Ovis aries: one gene and its partners. The protein of the gene in region 1 interacts with the protein of each later gene in a biochemical or structural test. Links are inferred from orthologs where the notes say so. Each region holds a gene or a part of one and is shown on either strand. Other genes may lie near its edges.

Region 1 (3,500 bases):
TTGGAGGTGGGAGTTGGGATTTTGGGGCGGGATTGGAACCAGGACAGGGTTTGGATTAGTTGGACACCCAAGGATCTCAGCCAAGTCTGTCATCTAAGCCTCTGTCCCCTTCATTGTCCCCAGTACTCTGAGCTCCAAGATAAAGTGACATCTGCAGAGACCAAAGTGCTGGAGATGGAGACGACAGTAGAGGACCTGCAGTGGGACATTGAGAAGTTGCGGAAGCGAGAGCAAAAACTTAATAAGCACCTGGCAGAAGCCTTAGAGCAGGTGAGGCTCAGGCGCTGGGTCAGATGGAGCCTGAACAGAGTACTTGGGGCCCTAACTTCTCTTCTCCACACGCACGTGTCCATCTCTTCTCTCCACAGCTCAACTCTGGCTACTATGTGTCTGGGAGTTCTTCAGGCTTCCAGGGGGGCCAGATCACACTCAGCATGCAGAAGGTGAGCAGCAGCATTCTTCCTGGTCCCTCCTGCAACTTTTTCTCTACTCTACCCTTGAACTTCCCCCTTAGAATTAAGGACAACTGGGGTCTTGGAGGTCTTTGCCTGTCACTCACAGTGTCCTTTGTTTTATTGTTTCATATCTGTATTCAGTAAATAGTTGTTGAATACTGAATGTTAGCTACTGTGTAGAAAGTAGTTATTTTGGAGAGCAAAACAGAAACCTATCTTGGAGCTTAAGTTCTAGTTGGGGCGTTAACAAGAAGTAGGTAAATCGTATATCAGTTGATTAAAAGTCGGTCAGTCAGTAGAGTCCAGTCCAGTCCAGTCCCATCCCTCAGTCGTGTCCAACTCTTTGCAACTCCATAGACTGCAGCACACCAGGCCCCCCTGTCCATCATTAACCCCTGGAGTTTATTCAAACTCATGTCTGTTGAGTCAGTGATGCCATCGAACCATCTCATCCTCTGTTGTCCCCTTCTCCTCTCGCCTTCAATTTTTCCGAGCATCAGGGTCTTTTCAAATGAGTCAGTTCTTCACATCAGGTGGCCAAAGTATTGGAGCTTCAGCATCAGTCCTTCCAAAGAATATTCAGCACTGATTTCTTTTAGGATGGACTGGTTGGATCTCCTTGCTGTCCAAGGGCTTAAAAGTACCACTGAGGAAAGAGGTGTTGGTTGTGTTGGAGGCATTTGGCATTCTCGTTGTGTAGCTGAAAAAGGGCCTTGCTGCCACTGTCCCCTTCCATGTCCTGCTTTTGCTCTCACTTTTGTCGCTGCACATTGTTTTTCTTTTTTCGGTGCTGCAAAGTCATTGTTCCCTGTCCTCCTTTTCTCAGCTTGCTCTTCAGGTCTTCCAGGAAGGCTTCCCTGACCCCCTGTCAGATACAAGCCTTGGTTCCCAGCACTGACCATGCAGTATTACATTTTCTCCTACCTAACTGGGAACACTTAGGAAAGTGCCTGGGTCTGGTTTGTCCTTGAGCCTTCAGAATCCATCACTGCTCCATATAGGGGAGCTTGGGCAGAGTATATGGTGAGGCTGTGAGGGATGCACGCCTCATGCCCTGGCCCTGCCTCCCACTGGTCTCCTCACTCCACAGTTTGAAATGCTGAATGCGGAGTTGGAGGAAAATCAGGAATTGGCCAATAGCCGCATGGCAGAGCTAGAGAAGCTGCAGGCCGAACTTCAGGGGGCCGTGCGGACCAATGAGCGCCTCAAGGTGAGTTGTGTTTGGGGCTGGGAAGGCCTTACCCTGTAGGGTGGGCGCTGAGCTCTCCTTCCTCTTGCTGAGTGAGCTCAGACATCCTGCCCCTAGGTAGCATTGCGGAGCCTTCCCGAGGAGGTGGTCCGGGAGACAGGGGAGTACCGGATGCTGCAGGCACAGTTCTCACTGCTCTACAATGAGTCTCTGCAAGTGAAGACCCAGCTGGATGAGGCCCGTGGGCTGCTGCTGGCCACCAAGAATTCCCACCTGAGGCACATTGAGCACATGGAGGTATGCCCGTGGAACAGGGGTAAGGGTCAGGCCCTCTGGGTTAGGTTGTTCCTGGGTCAAGTGTGTCAGAGCCCGGGGTGCCTGCCAGAGATCCCTTGGGAATAAATTCTTCCTAAGCCTCTGAGGTTGAAGGTGGGCTTGCCATGAGCCCAGGGCTTGTGTGGGTCCTTAATGCCTCACTTCACAGAGTGATGAGCTGGGGCTGCAGAAGAAGCTACGCACCGAGGTTATACAGCTGGAGGACACGCTGGCCCAGGTTCGCAAGGAGTACGAGATGCTGCGCATCGAGTTTGAACAGAACCTGGCGGCCAATGAGCAGGCGGGTATGTGCGAGGACAAGTTTGAGGTGGGGCCTTTTGTGGGATTGCTGGGCTCTGATGTGGCCAGATGCTTGTCCAGAGGTTAGGTCCTTTCCTTTCACAGAGCCTCATCTCTCTGTGAAAAATGGGGACCCCACCACATGGCTCAAAGATGCAGTGAGGTTTACAGCTGCCTGAGGTGGCTGATGGTGCCAACTCTGCCAGAACAGGAGCTGTCAGCCCCATCCATGATTCTCTGGCCTTTAGGGTGCCTCTCTACTAGTTCATTTTACAAAGGTTTATTGAACACCTCTTTTGAGCCAGGCTCAGTTCTAAGCTTTGGGATTATACCAGCAAACAAAATACAAAGAATCCCTGCTGTTGTGGAGCCATGTTACAGAGAGAGAGGACAGACAACAAAGGGAAAATTGAACATGTATGTTGGGTAGTGACAAGTATACCAGGAAAAGTAAAGCAAGCAGGGAAGATAAGGAGGTATTAGGAGAAATGCCAGGGACATGAAACTAAGAAGATGACATTTGTTTAAAAAGCTAAAGGAAGTGGACTAACTTACTTTTGTGAGTTTTCAGTTATATGTTCCTTTGAAGGAAATCTGGAAATATTTGCGAAATCTGCATTAGCAAAAATAACACACAGCATCAGATTACATTTGAGTGAATTTTTTTCAGTTATCTGCTGAGCTCACTCTGTCTGTATAAGGCTTCAGTTTTCTTCTTCTTTGTAGTGAGAGTGACGGCTCTGGCCCTGCCTCTCCCCTCACGGAGGGGTTGGGCCCCTAACCCAGGGACCAGTCTGACCTTGGTTTCCTTTGCTCCTCAAGGGCCCATCAACCGCGAGATGCGCCACCTGATCAGCAGCCTACAGAACCACAACCACCAGCTAAAGGGGGATGCCCAGCGATACAAGCGGAAACTGCGCGAAGTACAGGCCGAAATTGCCAAGGTGAGGAGCGGGCTGCCTGGGGACGGCCATGGCTAGGCCCCAGTGATCATGTCTCACCTCAGCCCTGTTCTCTCTCTGCTTTGCAGCTCCGGGCCCAGGCCAGTGGCTCTACTCACTCCATCCCCAGCCTGGGCCACCCAGAGGACTCCAGCCTCAGTGCCCCAGTCCCAGGGAAAGAAGAGGGTGGGCCAGGCCCTGTTGGTGCCCCCGACACCAGGAAGGAGATGGCTTCCATGCCTGGCGCTGCCCTTACTACCTCGTCAGCGAAGAAGGAAGACCTGGTGCCCTCCGAGGAAG
Region 2 (4,270 bases), on another chromosome or scaffold:
GCCCCCGAGGCCTTTATTTGGGCTTCCCTGGTGGCTCAGTTGGTAAAGAATCCACCTGCGAAGCAGGAGACCTGAGCTCCATCCCTCGGTTAGGAAGATCCCCTGGAAAAGGAAATGACAACCTACTCCAGTATTCGTGTGCCTGGAAAACCCCATGGACAGAGGCGCCTGCTGGGCTACAGTCCATGAGGTCACAAAGAGCCGGACACGACTTAAGGACTAAATCATCACCAACACACACCAACATACACACACACGTAAAGCTTAATTGGGGAGTATACTTGGATATTTTCCCCTCTAAATATGCCACTGTGCCTGTAGCAGTCTATAAAATTCAATTTGCAGCAACTCGTTAGCACTTCCCAGGTCTTATTGGAGCTTCTCTGGTGACTCAATTGGTAAAGAATCCGCCTGCAATTCCAAGTTCAATCCCTGGGTTGGGAAGATCCCCAAGAGAAGGAAATGGCAATTCACTTCTGTATTCTTGCCTGGAAAATCCCATGGACAGAGGGGAGCCTGGTGGGCTACAGTCCAAGGGGTCGCAAAGAGTCGGCTAGGACTCTGCGACTACCACCACCACCACCAGGCCTTAGTTCACCTGCGACAAACTCCAGATGACTGGATCTGAGCGCGGACGAGCTAAAAGAGAAAAAAACGAGAAATAAAGGAGACGGTGGGGAGGGCGCGGCTGGGGTGGAAAGTATGAGTGTCTCCCTACATCAGCAGGCTCATCGGGTGTTTCAAAGCAGCGGCGCTGGCCCTTCCTCCGCGGGTCCTCACCTTGGTCTTCGAAGGCGCACGGGCTTCGGGCACAAAGCACGGTGACCCTGAACACCACCTACCCTTTTCCCGAGCTTCCGGGGATGATTTACTTCTGTGAGGCCGAAGGCCTAGTTCTGGGTCTGCCGCCGGTCTGAGGCGGGAGCGAGGCTCCGGTTCCGAGGAGAGGGCCTCGCGGGAGCTCGGGCCGCCGCGCACGCAACGAGCACCTGGGCTCACCGTCCGCCCGCCGCCCAACCACGGGCTTCCCGGCCGGAGCCCGCAGGGGCGGGGGCGGGGGCGGCGGCCGGCGCGCTCCTCCGCGCGCCCCCCGCCCCCGCGCCGCCGGGCGCACGCGCAGCAGCGCAGCCGCCCTTATTTAGTCCGCGATGGCTCCTCGCACGCCCCACCGGCCTCCTCCCATAGACGCTCCCCGCCCCGCGCGCCCCGGGGCCCCCGGGACCAGCCTCGGGCGGCTCCCCGAGCCCGACTACCCCTAAGCCGGAACGGCGGCGGCCGAAAGGGCGCGTGCGGACCGGTAGCGGCGACCGGAAAGAGCGGACGGGTCGCGAGGAGACGAGCCAGGCCGCGGAGGAAGAGGAGGGCCGCGACGAGCCGAGGTTTGCCGAAGGCGGCGTTCCGGCGCGCGCGAGGGTGGGAGAGGAGGGGCGCGGCGGAAACTGCCGAGGGTTTCCGAAGGCCGCAGCGGCCGAGTTGCCCGGATGTAGTTGGTGGAGCGGCAGCGGCGGCACCAGCGGCGGCGGCGGCGGCAGGAGGAGGAGGCGGCGAAGGACCCAGCGGCGGCGGCGGGGGGAGGAGGGGAGGAGGCGGCGGAGCGGGAGGAGGAGAAGGCGGAGGAGGCAGTCGCGCTGTCCGCGGGGCGAGCAGGACGCGTCGTGTTGCCCCCTCCCCCCCACCCCCCGGTTCGCCGCTGCCCGGCCTGAGCTGAGCGTGAGCGTGGTGCGGACTGAGGAGATGGCCCGGGAGCGCCGGCGCCAGTGACGGGGAGGTGCTGAGCGTCGCCGAGGGCGCGCCGGGCCTGCGCCGCCCGCCGCCTGCGCGCCCGCCCGCCGCCGCCGTCTCCCGCGGCCGCTCCCCCCTCCCCGACACACGCTCACAGGCCGGGCATTGATGGTAATGTATGCGAGGAAACAGCAGAGGCTCAGTGATGGGTAAATCGTCTTTTCGTTTCGAGGCGGCGGAGCGGGCGGCGGGGGGGCGCTCCTCCTCATCTGGGCCGGCCGCGCCGCCATTTTTGTTGTTAACCCTGATCCGGAGCGGCCGGGAGGGGGAGCGGCCGCGCGGGCGGCGGCGGGAGGGGGGGGAGTCGGGGGTGGACGGCCGCGGGCGGCGGCGGCCCCTCGCCGGCGGGAGCCCGTGTGAGTGCGTGTGAGCGGGTGTGAGAGCGAGAGCGTGTGCGCGCGGCGGGAGGGCGGGCTGCCTGGGGCCGGAGCGCCGCTGGGATTCGGAGCGGGGGCCTTTCTGCGGGCCCCGCGCTGGGGGCCCGTTCTCCGGCCTCAGGTGGCCTTTTCTTCTGTTTTCCAGCTGTCACGACCGGCGGGGGGACGCGCAGCCTTACCAGGTACCACGGGGCGGGCGCGGGCTGCGGGGCTGGCGGGGCCGGCGGGGGAGGGAGGAGCCGCTACTCGAGCGCAGGCTTCACAGGTCGCTGCAGGCCCTTCGGGGCCACAGACGCGAAACCCGCTTGGTGGGGCCGGAAACCCTGCGCTCGCTTCCCGGGGCGCTCGCCGGCGAGGGGTGGGGGCTTATTTTGACAGGTGACGGGAGGAAGTTCAAGTTCTTTTTGCGGGGAGGGTGGGGGGAAGGGAATAAAAACTGATTCTTGTCCAGGAAGGACCTGACTCGGTTATTCGGGTGTGCGGGACTCGGTAGGACAACGTGTTCAGTAACTCTGGAATCACCTTCATTTGTTGTTTTGGGGAAACTAAAAGTTAACGCAGAGGTATCAGAATTAGACGGAAGGGCAGGGAAGAAGCCACTGATGGGTTTGCAACTCTTTAAGTGTGTTGTAAACCATTACCCCTTCCCAGTTTGTTTTCGGTGGAAATAATTGTCTTCAGTGAAAGATGGCGCTTTTCTTTTTGTAGAAATTGAGATCTTTGAGTACTTGGGTAATTCACTGTCCTGAAAGGAGTTTTAGGTACATAGTTTTCTTTTTGTGACAGCTTCGTGTAACATTGTAAAAGTTTTTTTGAAAGAGTTGGCCCCTGTTTTCCGGGGGAGGAAAATTCATTAATTTGTAACTGTGGGGTGACTCTAGAAGTAAATACTTACTGCATCTGACCACTTAAAGGATAGGAGAGCGGGTTTCCAAGCTAACGGTTGTGTTTCTGGATAGCATGAGTTAAAGTTCCAGTTAAAAATCTAGGTTCCTTGACGGGTAAAACATTGTGCATTACATTTGGATAGGTCAACGATTAAACTGTTGAATCACACTCTAAAACATGGTTAATTATGCATTAAAAAAGACAGCTATATCATGGTTGTCTTAAATATGTTAAATGTTTTTTGAGGGAGTTCCATTAAGTTCCATTAGGATAGGTCAGAAATAAGAGCCTACATTTCTATACCTTAAAATTGTTTCCCATGCCTGCAAGAGTAGTTAAACTAGATCTGAAATGCCTTACTTACTTGAATCCAAGAATTGGAGAAATTCTGATGAGAATTCTCTGAATTCTGATGCTTTTTTTGGGTCAGATCGAAGAAACATGTTTATGCTTATTTGTATTTGTGTCTAGCATAGTTGCAGAGCAAAAACATTAGAGTAGTACTCAGTGAATACTTAAACTTTTTAACTGGCAGAAAAGTTTGAGGAGTTAATTTGTCAAAGTGTTGATTTCTTGTGTTTACAAGATGATTAATAGAAGGTTTTTTAAAAAAAACACATTTTGATATGTATGATGAGCCTTACAATAACTTGTGTTTAGGTCTTGTGTGAGTAACTTAAAGGCAGAATTCAAAAAGAAAATTTCAATTTTATAAATTTATAAAACTGAATATAGGTAATATAGCAAATTTTATGATAAAACTGACTTATGAAATTAAAGTTTGATTTCTTTTTTATTTTGGGGGGGTGATGTTTTACAGGCACTTAAGTATTCATCGAAGAGTCACCCCAGTAGTGGTGATCACAGACATGAAAAAATGCGAGACGCCGCAGATCCTTCACCACCAAACAAAATGTTGCGGAGATCTGATAGTCCTGAAAACAAATACAGTGACAGCACAGGTCACAGTAAGGCCAAAAATGTGCATATTCACAGAGTTAGAGAGAGGGATGGTGGTGAGTAGCTTTTTCTATTGAAACTTACATTTATTAATAATAATTCTATGTAAGACAAAAAGTTTTAGTCATATTTCCAGTTTGCAAATGTTACTAAATGTTTATGTCATCAGAATATTTTGATTCCTAAACAAATTATGTAGAAATAAGATGCTGACCCCAGAATCTACAGCTGGACCCCAGTGGGTGATAATTAGAGGATGCATT
Region 3 (4,078 bases), on another chromosome or scaffold:
GTTCTTTGCATCAGGCGGCCGAAGTATTAGACTTTCAGCTTCAACATCAGTCCCTCCAATGAATACTCAGGAATATTCATGAATATATGCTGTAAGGTGCAGGAAACTGTAGATGTTAGCTCAGGTACCGGGCAGACTGTTGGAGCAATTCAGGGAAAGAACAAAGAGAAGGGAGCTGGCGGGGGGGGGGGGGGGGGGGGGGGGGGGGGGGGGGGGGGGGGGGGGGTGGGGGGGGGGGGGGGGGGGGGGAGTTGGGGGGGGGTGGTGGTGGTGGCAGGTGACTGGATGAGTTTGCTTTTGGATAGGTCGAGTTATAGGGACAGACAGGTTGAAGTATCCAGTTAACAGGTATACAGGCCTGAGCTTCTGCAGCAAATACTAGATGAAAGCACTGAATTGGGTACGACTTCGGGAAGAGTGAAGAATGAAGTGTGCGGAAAGGGCGAATACGGAGGCAGAGCCGAGCTTAACACTGGGATTTAAACACGGACAGGGGGAAAAGCAGCAGAATGAGGAAAGACGGAGGGCGACATTTTGAATGCCAAGGGAAAGACGCCTTCAAGTTGAAAGCGGTTTGGGACGCCTCCTAGAGGTCAAGAGGAGGATGACATACTATTCTGGGCTTCCCTGGTGGCTCAGACCGTAAGGAATCCACCTGCCTGCAATGCTGGAGACCCCGGATTCGATCTCTGGGTCGGGAAGATCCTCTGAGAAGGAAATGCCCTCGATTAAACCGGAGTCTGAGGAACAGACGGGTGGGGATGGGGCGAAGCCACACCGCAGGCAACAACTAAATTGAAAGAAAAGAAGAGGCCTCAGTAGTTTTGTATTTTTTAAGGTAGTCTGGCTTTGACGAGCCAGAAAAGGAGGAACTTAGTAATTTAAGGTTCCAAGGCCCTTGAGTGGGAGTAACTGCATCTGCTAAAGGCTCTCTGCAGCCCTTTAAAATCCTTTTTGGGAAACCGGAAAAAACCTACCACCCGTAACCTAGGAAAAAATTGCCGCTCAGTAAATAAAGCAAAACAGAAGAGCGTTTTGTTTGAAAGCCTTCACTTTAAAAACCCTGGCATGCAAATAAAGGGCTTTAATATGGCTCACAACGATTGGTAGGTACTTATAGAAGCCGTCATTTCCTCGTAGCCCAAGATGCAAACGAAGAGTCTGCTCTTCGCTTTCCTATTGGCTGTTCGATCGGACTCCGCTTTTAGCCAATCAAACCACTTCCCTTCACCCCTCCCGGTAGCTCTTATAAATTACATCAAATTGGTTACCCTTGCCATATCGTTCTCCTTGAAAAAGAAGCTGTAACTGCAGTTTTAGCAGTAATGTCAGGCCGCGGAAAGCAGGGAGGCAAAGCTCGGGCCAAGGCCAAGTCGCGCTCATCCCGCGCTGGCCTTCAGTTCCCTGTAGGGCGAGTGCACCGCCTGCTGCGCAAAGGGAACTACGCCGAAAGGGTGGGGGCCGGCGCACCGGTGTACTTGGCGGCAGTGCTGGAGTACCTGACCGCGGAAATCCTGGAGCTGGCGGGCAACGCCGCCCGAGACAACAAGAAGACGCGCATCATCCCTCGCCATTTGCAACTGGCCGTGAGAAATGATGAAGAGCTCAACAAGTTACTCGGGGGTGTCACTATTGCCCAGGGCGGTGTCTTACCCAATATCCAGGCAGTCTTATTGCCCAAAAAAACGGAGAGTCACAAGCCTGGCAAGAATAAGTAATTAAGAGGCTTGATACCATCCCCACTCACCCCAAAGGCTCTTTTAAGAGCCACCACCAAAGTGTCAAAATAAAGGGCTGATCACAAAATAGCGCATTAGCTCTTTTTTTGAAAACTTGGGTGGCTCTAAAAAGAGCCTTTGTTCTTTGGTTTACTTTGTAAGGCTTTATTTGCTTTTGGCTTTATGGCTTTCGGTTTTCTTTGGTAATAAAACGGCCTGGATGTTGGGCAAAACGCCGCCTTGCGCGATGGTAACCTTGCCTAACAGCTTGTTCAGCTCTTCGTCGTTGCGGATGGCCAGCTGCAGGTGACGAGGAATGATGCGCGTCTTTTTGTTGTCTCGCGCCGCGTTGCCGGCAAGCTCCAGGATCTCGGCCGTCAGATACTCCAGAACCGCCGCCATGTAGACGGGCGCGCCGGCCCCCACCCGCTCAGCGTAGTTGCCTTTGCGCAGCAGGCGATGCACTCGCCCTACCGGGAACTGCAAGCCTGCACGGGACGAACGCGACTTGGCCTTCGCCCGGGCCTTGCCTCCCTGCTTTCCGCGACCAGACATGACTAAAGATAACAGTAGTACCCTTAAAGATCAAAGCCCCTCGGCAAATGTTTAAGAAAGATCAGCAATTGGAAAGCCTTTATAAGTTTTCTGAGGGGTGGGGTCAGGAACGAGCTTTTCATTGGTCCCAAATTGGCTCCTGAAACAGCCAATAAGGTTAAGAGTCGGTGTTATTCTGTAGCTATTACTGATAACGTAAGGTCTCTCCACGGACCAATGGGAATGTAAGACTTTTGGAGCCTTAATTTGCATACGGTGGTTATAAATGGATCAGGCCCGCCCATTCTCATACCTCTTTTTTTGCCAAACGGCGTTGCTTCACAATGCCTGAGCCGGCAAAATCCGCTCCCGCGCCCAAGAAGGGCTCCAAGAAAGCCGTCACCAAAGCCCAAAAGAAAGACGGCAAGAAGCGCAAGCGCAGCCGCAAGGAGAGCTATTCCATCTACGTGTACAAGGTGCTGAAGCAGGTGCACCCAGACACCGGTATTTCGTCCAAGGCCATGGGCATCATGAACTCATTTGTCAACGACATCTTCGAGCGCATCGCGGGCGAAGCGTCGCGCTTGGCGCATTACAACAAGCGCTCAACCATCACGTCTCGGGAGATCCAGACGGCCGTGCGCCTGCTGCTGCCTGGCGAGCTGGCCAAGCATGCCGTGTCCGAGGGCACCAAGGCGGTCACCAAGTACACCAGCTCCAAGTGAGTCCCTGCTGGGACGCGGCGCTCGCACGAGTCGCAAAGCCGCTTGATTTTCCAAAGGCTCTTTTCAGAGCCACCCACCTAATCACCAGAAAAGAGCCTTGTTCACTTGTTTCTCCTCAGTTCCTCACAAAGTAAGTTACTCTAGTTGGCTAAAAGTAATAGAAGATGACACACGTAGCTTTTTAAGCCCTTATGACTTGAGATTCCTGGCGCGTGACTGGCTTTGCTTTTGAATCTAGGGCGCGTCTTAACCCTCACTGCTGCTTAGCTTTCGTATGAGTCAGTTCTAAATTAGGATACTGAGACTGCTCCTAGACTTGTGTCCTGGTGGCTCTGTTGGGTACGTGTCACCGGTGTTCCAAAACGAAGTGAGTGATTTCAGCTATCCACATTTAAGAAAGGACCCCAGGACACGACCAAGCCCGGGTCTTTCGAACACTGCATCACAGCCCTGAAGAATTGCGAGTTTGGCAGCTGCGTGGGTGCCGGATCACGAATTAGGCCCTTGCGATGTGGCTTCCTGTGGACACCAGCGGTTCGGGATACTTCATACTGAGCCCGCGCTGCCTGGTCTCAGCCTTTCCCTGATTGGACATGAATATTCAAACTCTCCCGCCGCTCCGGAATTCATAGGTTCTGGTTTGCGCCGCTCACTTTGGCGCTGTGAAATTCCTGTTATTTCTTGGTTTGTGGATCATTTTTGCTTTTAATTCTCTTTTCTCGGAATATTTCGGCGTCAAGTCACCGGAAGGCACTAGTCATTTTAGTCTGGTCTCAAACGTCACCTCTCAGACACCTTCGGGAAGTTGTGTCTCTCCTTCCTGCCTCTGGTCCCTCACTATTTTATTTTCTTCCTAGCAGCTGTCAGAAATTGTTTTGCTATTAATAGTTGGTTTTTTTTTTTTTTTCTTGTTTACCATTTTCCTCAAGACCTTAACGGAAACTTTATTGGTTTGGTTTTCCTCTATATCGTCCCCGCCAACCAGTGCTTGGCACACAGTGGACGGTTAAGTACTTACTGAATTAGTATTGAATTCATTTTTCTGTCCCTCTTCTTTTAAAAATAGCCTTCATGGATGGATGGATGGGTGCGGTTCATTTC

Evidence for each region. The genes of interacting proteins can lie anywhere in the genome.
Region 2: the proteins of RNF40 (region 1) and WAC form a complex in vitro, tested with the Homo sapiens proteins (2 studies listed by BioGRID). The link is inferred for Ovis aries from reciprocal best matches to the Homo sapiens genes RNF40 and WAC.
Region 3: of the proteins of RNF40 (region 1) and histone H2B type 2-E, one has a biochemical effect on the other in vitro, tested with the Homo sapiens proteins (2 studies listed by BioGRID). The link is inferred for Ovis aries from reciprocal best matches to the Homo sapiens genes RNF40 and H2BC21.

What each region holds. Positions count from the first base shown.
Region 1 is NC_056077.1:27,403,519-27,407,018, forward strand, and holds part of RNF40 (E3 ubiquitin-protein ligase BRE1B), read left to right. Parts: coding exon 1-6; intron 7-123; coding exon 124-270; intron 271-368; coding exon 369-443; intron 444-1,545; coding exon 1,546-1,665; intron 1,666-1,761; coding exon 1,762-1,941; intron 1,942-2,128; coding exon 2,129-2,264; intron 2,265-3,081; coding exon 3,082-3,203; intron 3,204-3,289; coding exon 3,290-3,500.
Region 2 is NC_056066.1:35,544,043-35,548,312, reverse strand, and holds the start of WAC (WW domain-containing adapter protein with coiled-coil), read left to right. Parts: upstream 1-1,470; 5' UTR 1,471-1,890; coding exon 1,891-1,931; intron 1,932-2,016; exon of another isoform or gene 2,017-2,138; intron 2,139-2,304; coding exon 2,305-2,342; intron 2,343-3,850; coding exon 3,851-4,063; intron 4,064-4,270.
Region 3 is NC_056054.1:99,992,048-99,996,125, reverse strand, and holds the start of histone H2B type 2-E, read left to right. Parts: upstream 1-1,278; 5' UTR 1,279-1,325; coding exon of another isoform or gene 1,326-1,718; 5' UTR 1,719-1,883; coding exon of another isoform or gene 1,884-2,273; 5' UTR 2,274-2,596; coding exon 2,597-2,977; 3' UTR 2,978-4,078. Other genes in the region: histone H2A type 2-B, read left to right, coding at 1,326-1,718; histone H2A type 2-C, read right to left, coding at 1,884-2,273. UniProt on the Homo sapiens protein: Core component of nucleosome. Nucleosomes wrap and compact DNA into chromatin, limiting DNA accessibility to the cellular machineries which require DNA as a template.